2 linked regions of the Coturnix japonica genome follow. Each later gene encodes a partner of the first gene's protein in a complex. Links are inferred from orthologs where the notes say so. Each region holds a gene or a part of one and is shown in the gene's direction. Other genes may lie near its edges. The genes, in order: SIKE1 and SLMAP.

Region 1 (4,339 bases):
ACAGTCATGTGGTTAAGAGTTATTAAAAGCATTAAAGCACTAACCTCTTGTAACCCCATTTTTCACTCTATACACATACATAAGTGTTTAATCGAATCGAAGTTAAACACTAAGATGCTTGAGAGGCCAAATTTATACATTCTCTTCAGTTTATACAGCGCTGATGTGATAAGCCAAAGGAATTATAAGACACCACTGCCCTGAGATCGCTCATCCGCTGCTTTGTTTAAGCTCTGTTGCTACATAAGAGAAGTCCTGGTGAGAAGCACGAGCAGCATTTAGATACAGGAGTGCTGTGCTACTGGGATCGGGTCGGTCCTGGCGCCACATGAACTCATTCTGCTGTCCTCTGGGAGTGGAACTAATGATTCTGTGTCAAGAGATCTGCTGGGCAGGGAGCGAGCCACGGCCCTGAGTGGGGGCATGGGACACATTAGGACTTCATCTCCTTTTCATTCTGTGTCTTTATTTCAGACACTCAGACAATCCTGACATGGAAGCCTGATAAAGCAGTGCCTCTCCCTTGTCTCCACGTGGCATGAAAGGCCGGAATGATATCTCTGAAGGAAGGGAAGAGTGAGCATTAAATCATGCCCAAAGGGAAGGAGAAGTGTAAGAAACAGAATAGGTTCAGACATACAACCCAAGTGCAGCTTGTGCTGAGGTGTAGTGTGTGCTCCTGCTGCTTCAGTCTGACTTCCCAGCTGATGTGAATTGAATTGCTGGTGCTGCATTGATCTCACTGAGTCCCCCGGGCTGTACGATGGGATTTAAGTGCAACAGGTTGTAAATTTGGTACCACGGAACTTCCTTAACTAGAATAGGGTGAAAGGCACGAACAGCTGAATTGTTGAGTGTGTCCCAAAGGAGATGTAAGCCCGCAGGGTGGCTGCAGGCAGCAGAACTGCTGACACTGCTAAAACACTGCTTAGAAAGTATCAAAGGAAAACGTGACACGACGAGAAGCGAAGCAGCAGAATCACCACGGGTGGCTACGGGCGGTTACAGCGAGCAAATAACAAAGAACGAAGTCAGCACTGCACAGCTTGTTATTTTAACTTGAGGAGAGGATGTTTACTGTCGGAGGGACAAACAGGGATACAGATAAGATGTCAGCCCAGGATTTAAAGGAGTTTGAAATCAAGATAACCAGGACCCCCCGTGGGTCACGGCCACCTGCGCTGTGCAAACAGAGCAGCTCCCATTGCCGGCTCTCAGATCCACGCCGTGTGACAGCGGGGAGCTTTGGATCCACGCGTTTAACACCATCCCCGCACCCAGCGGCCTCCAGCAGGCGGCGGTGCGGGCTCAGCTCCGGGCTCAGCTCACGGCTGCGCAGCTGCGGGGCGAGGAGCCGGCCCGGAAAAGGCAGCGGCTGTTGTGCGGGTGTTGTTGTGCCGAGCGGGTTCGGTCCGTGCGCTGTGCGGGACATGGGGCCGCCGCGGGACTGAGCAGCGCGGCCCGACCTGCGCCCACCATGAGCTGCACCATCGAGAAGATCCTGACGGACGCCAAGACCCTGTTGGAGCGGCTGAAGGAGCACGACACCGCCGCCGAGTCGCTCATCGATCAGTCCGCCGTCCTGCACCAACGCGTGGCCGCTATGCGGGAGGCGGGTGCGGGGCCGGCCGACAAGGGCAGCGCGGCGGCGGCGGCGCCCACGGCCGCGTCCCGGCGGGGTCGGAGCGTAACGGAGGATGGTGCTGACGGCTCCCGGCTGCGGCCGCACACGCTGCTGTGCCAGGAGAACACGCAGATCCGCGACCTGCGGCAGGAGAACCGCGGTGAGTCGGACGGGATGGGGCTGACGGCTCTCGGTGCACCGGGGGGGTCGCGTGGTGCCGTGTAACGCTGCGATCCCTGTCCCGTAGCGCTGTGGATCTCTCTGGAGGAGCACCAGGACGCCTTAGAGCTCATCATGAGCAAATACAGGAAGCAGATGTTGCAGCTGTTGCAAGGGAGAAAAGGTGAAGATGCGGAACCAGTGCTGAAAGTTCATCAGGCCAACTCTGTGGTAAGGTGGGATGGGGATGAGGAACTTGCTCTCTGGTTTGCTTTCATGCAACGTTTGTCTCCTTTCACGGGCCCATTCTGCTCCAGGAGCCTTCTTTCAAGCTCTGGTCCCTTTGGTATTTGATCTTTTCCCTGCATTCTTCTCACAGGTTGTAAATTATCACAGAGCATCCTGAACAGCACGAGCCTTTGGTTGTCCAGGTGAAGGCTTGCTGTGTGCTCTGGGTGATACATTCCTGGGGTTAAGCTTTAATAGCTTTGTTTTCACTTAAGAGGAGCACAGCAGAGGTGGTTATCATTACTGTTGAGTAACTGTAACAAAAGGAAAAGAGCCTCCAAAATCCCTATAAGCTGCCGTGTGTTGAGGTATGTGATGCTGTCTTAAAGCAGGGAGGATTACAAGTGGTTGGGAGGGAAAGATTAAGATTCAAAATGGGAAAGTAGTCCAGAATTAATAACATGAAAGTAATGGATTCATAAGGAATAAATTATTACTGCTTTTGCCTGAATGTATTAACGGTGTTTGTTTTTTTTCCCCATGTCTTTCAGGAAATTGAAGGACAAATAGACAGGATATGTGAGATGGGTGAAGTGATGAGAAAAGCTGTACACGTGGATGATGATCAGTTCTTCAAGGTACAGGAGAAACTAGCTCAGCTGGAGGTAAGAACCCACGACATCGCTAAGGACAGATCAAGCTTTTGGGGACTATAGATGGTTGTGTGTGTCAGGTGTTAATAACAATAAAAAACAGGGATGGTGGGTGAGGTTGGGAGGCAAGGAACATTTTCTGTTTAAGTTCTTTGTATTTCTGTCATCTTAACGATAAAGCCCAAAGTAAAAGGTGTCCTTTAAAGTGATGTGCTTCATCCCTTGTAAACATTAGTTTGAGTTCTAGATTTCTATTCGGCTGTGAAGGAATGGGGCTACTTAATTAACAGTCTGTAATCTTTGTTAATTAACTCATCTCTATCTCAGTTGAAATACTGATTATTATTTTTCTTTTTGCAGCTCGAAAACAAAGAGCTTCGGGAACTATTGTCCATCAGCAAGGAATCCTTTGAGCTCGGGAGGGACGATGTGCGTGACAGCGAAGCTTAGATCACAACACACCCAAACCTTGACTTCAGAGACTGTTCTGAAGCCACCCAACAAAGGACGATCTGTAACTTGTTCTTCAGGTGTTTCACATGTTCCATCTATCCCAATGTGTGCCCTGTGTTACTCTGCAATCACACACTCCTGATGGCAAAGGCTTGTATTGCTGCTCTGTATTATCAACCAAGTGAACCAAGTGCTTTTGGTGCCGGCTCTTTTGTGGCAGTTTATCTCACGAGTGTTACTTCCATAAGCTTTCCTCGGCAATTCCAGCTGTCACTTAGAACTGCCTGATATGGGGAACACAATACAGCTCCTGGATGTTGTATTTGCTAGAAGGAAGAAGAATTGAAGTCTATGTTATAACAAGTTGATACCTTGCTCTGCCTGCACAGTGGAGCTTTGGCTTTGAGGACCCAACCCTCAGTATTTGCTCACATTAATATTATATTATATTATAATAATATATATTATATATAATATTATATATATAATATATATTATATAATATATATATATATATATTATATTGATATTGTGATGCTCTCAGTGGCATTTTCATGCTGTTTTCAATGTAATTCAATGACACCCAATTGTCACTGTTACTTTTTGATGCTGTTTTTACTTAGTTTTGATAGATAAAGCAACTGTGTGTGTTATGAGTCTATTTGGATTATGCAGATAAAGGTGTTTAGTTGATATATGGGACTCCTGTTGAGGAGCATTGTACAGACTTCTTTCCTAGACTATTTTAAGATGGAATAAAGCAATTTACAGCCATTTTTGTGCTGTATTCTGTATTGTATCAATGCTGTCCCGTCGCCCCGTCCCACGTGGATCCCGCGCTATGGCGGTGCCGTTGGCTTTTGCGCATGCGCACCGTGCTGCCGCCGGTGGCCGTGAGGGCGCAGGCGCGGCCCCGCCCCGCGATCTCGCGAGAGGCCGGGATTAGTTCCTACGTGCGGTGCCGTGCTGCTCATGGCGGCGCTGGAGCGGGGGCGCTGAGCTGTTGGGGTGAGTCCGCCCGGCCGGGGGCGCCCGGCGCTGCGGGGTTCGGTGCCCGCGGGGCTTAAGGGACACGGAGCCCGAGGGGAGCGGCCTCAGAGCCGGGGGGAGCCCTCGATCTGTCGGCCCGGCCGCGGCCCGTCGCGGCGCTGTCGGTGGGGCGAAGCCGCGCGGGGCCTCCCCCCGGCAGCGCTGCGTGTGGGGATGTGGGGCTGGGGCCGGG
Region 2 (4,535 bases), on another chromosome or scaffold:
GACTGGGTCTGCAGAGCCCCGGCTGCTGCGTGACCTTGAGGGAGCGGCACCCGCCGCTCGAGCTGCAGCACAGAGCGGGATGTGCGCGGAGCTCCGCCGGCTGGGCTGCGGGATGGCGGCGGGCGGAGCCCTGTCACCTCCCAGCTCCCACCTGCTGCCGGCCCCAGCCGCCTCTCCCTCCCTCCCGTCCCGCTCTGAGGCTCCCGCCGGCTCCCTCAGCCCGTCACCCGGCTCAGGGCGTTGCTCCTCCTGTGCCGCAGCTTCACGGGCAGCACCGCGCATGAGCCGGAGGCCGATCCACTCCTGCGCAGTCTCCAGCTCCACAGCCGGGGGCGGCCGCCGCTCGTTCCCTATGGTCGGGGCCCCGCCGAGCACGGCTCCGCCCTCCGACCCCCGCCCCTCCCCGGCAGCGCCGCGGCTGTTACACCGGGTAGGTTTCCAGTCACTATGGCGGCGGCTGCGCTGAAGGTAAGGGAGGGAGCGGGGCTCCGCCGCGCCCCCGCTGCTCCCTCGGGGTCGGGCGCCGCTGGGCCGGGGGGAGGCGCGGGGCCGCGCCGGGCGGGGAACGAATCTGACCCGGTTTGTTTTCGGCTCCGCAGGTCGGAGGAAAGTTTTCGCGGTCGGCGGCCGCCTGAGAGGCAGAGCTACCGAGCGGGCCCCGCCGCCAGGCCCTCACAGCGCCGGGCCCTCACAGCGCCGGGCCCGAAGGAGACGCGCTCGGCGTGCGGAGAAGGCGCGGGGCGGCCCCCCATGAGCGGCCACCTGCGGCGGGGCTGAGCGGAGCCGTGGGCCGCCCCCTCTACCGGAGCGGTGTGGGGGCTTCGGAGGGACTTCCTGGAGCCGCCCCCCGCCGGCAGCGACCCGGAGCCGCAGCGAGCTGTCAGAGCGCCTGGGGCCCAGCGAGCTGCCCGCCGGCCTGGAACTGAGAGCGGAGCCGCGAGCCCGTTCCATGCCGCACCGAGCTCCTCGGCCCAGCGGCTTCGCGGGGCTGTAGAGCGCTTCGGCTTTATCTGGGGTTCGGCGTCGCTCTGGTAGCCCGGCCCGAGGAGCGCCTGTCTGCTTTAATGGACGATGATGAGGAGATGCGGACCGCCCTGTGACACGACCCGATCCCCGCTGCGGAGTGCGGGCTCTGCGACCGCCTTTCTGCTCCGTGAGCTCTGAGGGAGGACTCGGGTCCTTTTCCCCCTTCCCTAAACCTCTCTTTGCTTCCATGGTGCGGTGGTCAGTGTTGTTTACGGAAGGGGGAAAAAAAAGGAGGCGGTCGAGGTCCCAAACAAAAGTATTTGTATGACTCATCCACTTGGATTTAAGACGTTCTCTCCTTCTCTCAAGGAGCCTTTCCTTCTCTCTGAAGAAATCAGATGCTTGTTCCTGTTCTTCCAGAGGAGGATGGATTGAAAGTGGTACGTTTTAGACATTTTCTGGGCCACTGCTGATGTTGTTAAGAGACATAATGGGGCTTTTTCACTGGATTATTGCCAGAATTAGTTTACACACTGAAACCATGAGTTGTTAGGCCTCTCGTATGCGATAATGTTTGTCGTGCTTTAATGTAAACTTGCTGTGGAAGTTTGGCATAAAAATCGTGGAGGACGGTCTGCATCTGCATCAGAAGAGGTTGTCTTCGTCTCTGGTTGGTGTGGCAACCCCAATCTGTCCTCGATGCCTTCAGCCTTGGCCATCTTCACCTGCCGCCCCAACTCCCATCCGTTTCAGGAGCGTCATGTCTACCTGGATGAGCCCGTCAAGATCGGCCGCTCAGTGGCTCGCTGCAGGCCAGCTCAGAATAATGCGACTTTTGACTGTAAGGTGCTGTCCAGGAACCACGCACTTGTCTGGTTTGATCACAAGACAGGCAAGGTAAGATGTTTTGCTTGCTTGATTTAAAAATAGCAAACCTTATTTATTTGAGCGAGTCCCCAAATATTGCAGATCACTTTTGTTTCACCGTAATAAACGTGGCTGTGTGTGGAAGGATTGTGTTATAGTTAGTGATTAATTCTCTGGTAAACTGATAATTTCTTACCAAGCTGAAACTTTGTCAGTTCTTAAAAGTACTTAAAGCTAACAGTGCTGAAAAATGTGCGTGCTGGAGTGCGTGATTTTGAGGTGAGTAATAATTACAGATATGGCTCAGACTTGTGTGAATAATACGTTTATTTTTTTTTCCAAATACTAAGAACTGATTAACTGAGCGTGTAAATAAATCCCATTTTGAGCAGCTGGCAGAAAGCAGATTTAAAAGCGTGCTGGGTTTGTGTGCTGCTCTTCCTACATTTTTGAAATCATATATAGCGTGTTTTGTTTGGACCCGGTGGGTAGTGGGGGTGTAGCAGATGGCATACAAGGTATTTTCTCATTGCTAGTGAAAATGGTATTAAAATCCATCCGGAGATGTATTAACCTGCTGCTGTTTCCCTCAGAAAGGCAGTAGCTGTGGTGTTATGTGAAATACACAGGTTCTGTAGTGCATGTTTTGTCCGCTAGGGTTTGAACTGGGACAAGTAAAGCCATTTCACTCAATGGCTGTGAACTTAAATTTCAACAAGAAGGGAACGAAGTGCAGATTTCAGTTGCTCTGTGCTGTTATTTTCTTCCTCATGTGTTGATGTTCCACCCTGAAACTCCACCTGGTACAAATTAGCTCCTTTTTCTTTTTCTCTTTAAGCTTCCCTGCACGCTCTTCTGAGAAATGCGGTCAGTGTAGCTCTTGATTTCAGGAATAATAAAGTCAGTAATGAATGCTGTGTTTTTTACTAGTGTGACACAGCATGAAGGGCAGTAGAACAAAGTTCTTAAACCTTCCATTGTTAGCTATCCCCTGTTATGCAACACCTGGGCATGATGGGACAAGACAAGCGTTTAATTTCGTGAGGCTGGGTTATGGCATGGCTTTCAAGTTACTTGTAATTGTGTGAACTGCTATCTGTGATTCATTAAAAATACTGTTTTGGATCTATAATGTTTGTGATATACATTCTTGGACACTCTTAAGATCTTAAGTGCATGAAATATGGCTAATTTTAGTTTAAGCTCAGTTTTTAACTGTTTTTTGACACAAAGGGAAAGGTTTTACTTTATTGTACTGATTTGAATTGTAAAGGTATTGTACATATGGTTTTTTTAATCAACATTTTCATTCTTAATAAGCATTTTAAGACCCTTATGTGCCCTGTGATGGCTATAAATACTCTAGGCGTATTACAGGTGGTTTAATTAGAGAAAACACTGAATGTTGAGCAACTCTGCTAACTCAGAGAAGAGGTGAAGAGGGACCCAGTTGTTGTTTAGTACTGTTCTTAAATATTTAGTTAGCATTAGCTCCTCTAACACGTGTCAAAAAATGATACGCTTATTCCTTTTATCTTTAGCTGATCTAAAATAGCAACTTGGTAGTAGTAAATAAGATGGTAACATGTGATAGCTCTTGAAATACCATCATGTGAGAAGTTGATGGGGGGAATCTTGATGAAAATTGCGCAAATGAGAATCTGGATCAGTAGCCATAGTGATAACTAAATAAAGAGTGGGGTTTCAGATGATGCACAGGAATGTATCACTGTACGTTTTACATGTTGGAGCATTGCAAAAGGCAGAAAGAATTGATAAAGCAGAACACAGAGCTTTGGATTCTGTTTGCTTCATGACAACAGTGGTACATTTAGGGAAGACGGAGTTGGAGGAGGGGGGGAAATGCAGTGAAGGAGAGAATATGAAGTGCTGCTGGGAAAAGGTGGGTGGTGGTAAATACAATCTTAATCTGGAATCACAAAAGCTGCTTAAAACGCTGTGGTGTGTTAAATGAATAAACAAAAACCTAAATTATGCTGGAATATTTGCATGCGGGAATGTTCATTGCCATTGTTTACAGATCTTCTCATACGTGTATCTCATGTAGGAACGTATCATTATCCTATCCGGGATGTATATATAGGTCTGCCCAAGTTGTTTTTGCCGTAGCGGTTGTAAACATTTCTTAGAAGCTTATCAATAAGACTCTTACCAATATTGCTTTTCTGAGAGATAAGACCGTGAAATGTTAACTTAATAACAAAGAGAAATCCTTGAGAAATGTAAAAATAGTTCATGAATCATCTGGGGCCAGGCGCTGCTAAGCTGTGTGCTTCGATGGCAATGGCAGATCCTGCATTCCCAGCCTGTGCTCTCTGCTGCCTCTCCAGCCGCCTTTCTGCTGTGCTGCTGGTTTTTTTCCTTGAGGGTTTGGAGTTGTGTTTGTTTTGTTGTAGTGAATCATGTGAATGGTCCTGTGTGTGCTACATAGTCTGCAAATAACTGTATCAGCGTAATCTGTAGGGAAGGGTGGAAAGTGGGGAGAGGGAGCATTAGTAAAGTATGGGCAAGACAGCTGGTCAGTAAACAAACTTTTTGAGGCAGAGACAACCTCGAAACTTAGTATAAGGGCAGTCCATATGTGCAAAAAGCTGCCTTGTAGTAAGGAGATAATGCCTGTGTCACACCAGCATTAGTAATGATAAAAGTGGGATGAGTCTTCAAGGCCACAAGAAAACAGC

What was found.
Region 2: the proteins of SIKE1 (region 1) and SLMAP are in contact, whole or in part, in a crystal structure (PDB 6AKM), measured with the Homo sapiens proteins. The link is inferred for Coturnix japonica from reciprocal best matches to the Homo sapiens genes SIKE1 and SLMAP. Residues at the interface, in NP_079349.2 of Homo sapiens: Ile5, Ile8, Leu9, Ala12, Lys13, Leu16, Leu19, Arg20, His22, Asp23, Ala26, Glu27, Leu29, Val30, Ser33, Ala34, Leu36, His37, Val40, Met43, Arg44; in NP_001291349.1 of Homo sapiens: Leu168, Tyr171, Leu172, Glu174, Ala175, Arg178, Glu179, Met181, Leu182, Lys185, Thr188, Leu189, Leu192, Leu193, Ile195, Thr196, Ala199, Ser200, Thr202, Ser203.

Annotation. Positions count from the first base shown.
Region 1 is NC_029541.1:3,922,375-3,926,713, reverse strand, and holds SIKE1 (suppressor of IKBKE 1), read left to right. Parts: upstream 1-1,346; 5' UTR 1,347-1,477; coding exon 1,478-1,784; intron 1,785-1,871; coding exon 1,872-2,014; intron 2,015-2,562; coding exon 2,563-2,676; intron 2,677-3,024; coding exon 3,025-3,114; 3' UTR 3,115-3,891; downstream 3,892-4,339.
Region 2 is NC_029527.1:6,442,327-6,446,861, forward strand, and holds the start of SLMAP (sarcolemmal membrane-associated protein), read left to right. Parts: upstream 1-1,642; 5' UTR 1,643-1,665; coding exon 1,666-1,863; intron 1,864-4,535. UniProt on the Homo sapiens protein: Associates with the striatin-interacting phosphatase and kinase (STRIPAK) core complex, forming the extended (SIKE1:SLMAP)STRIPAK complex.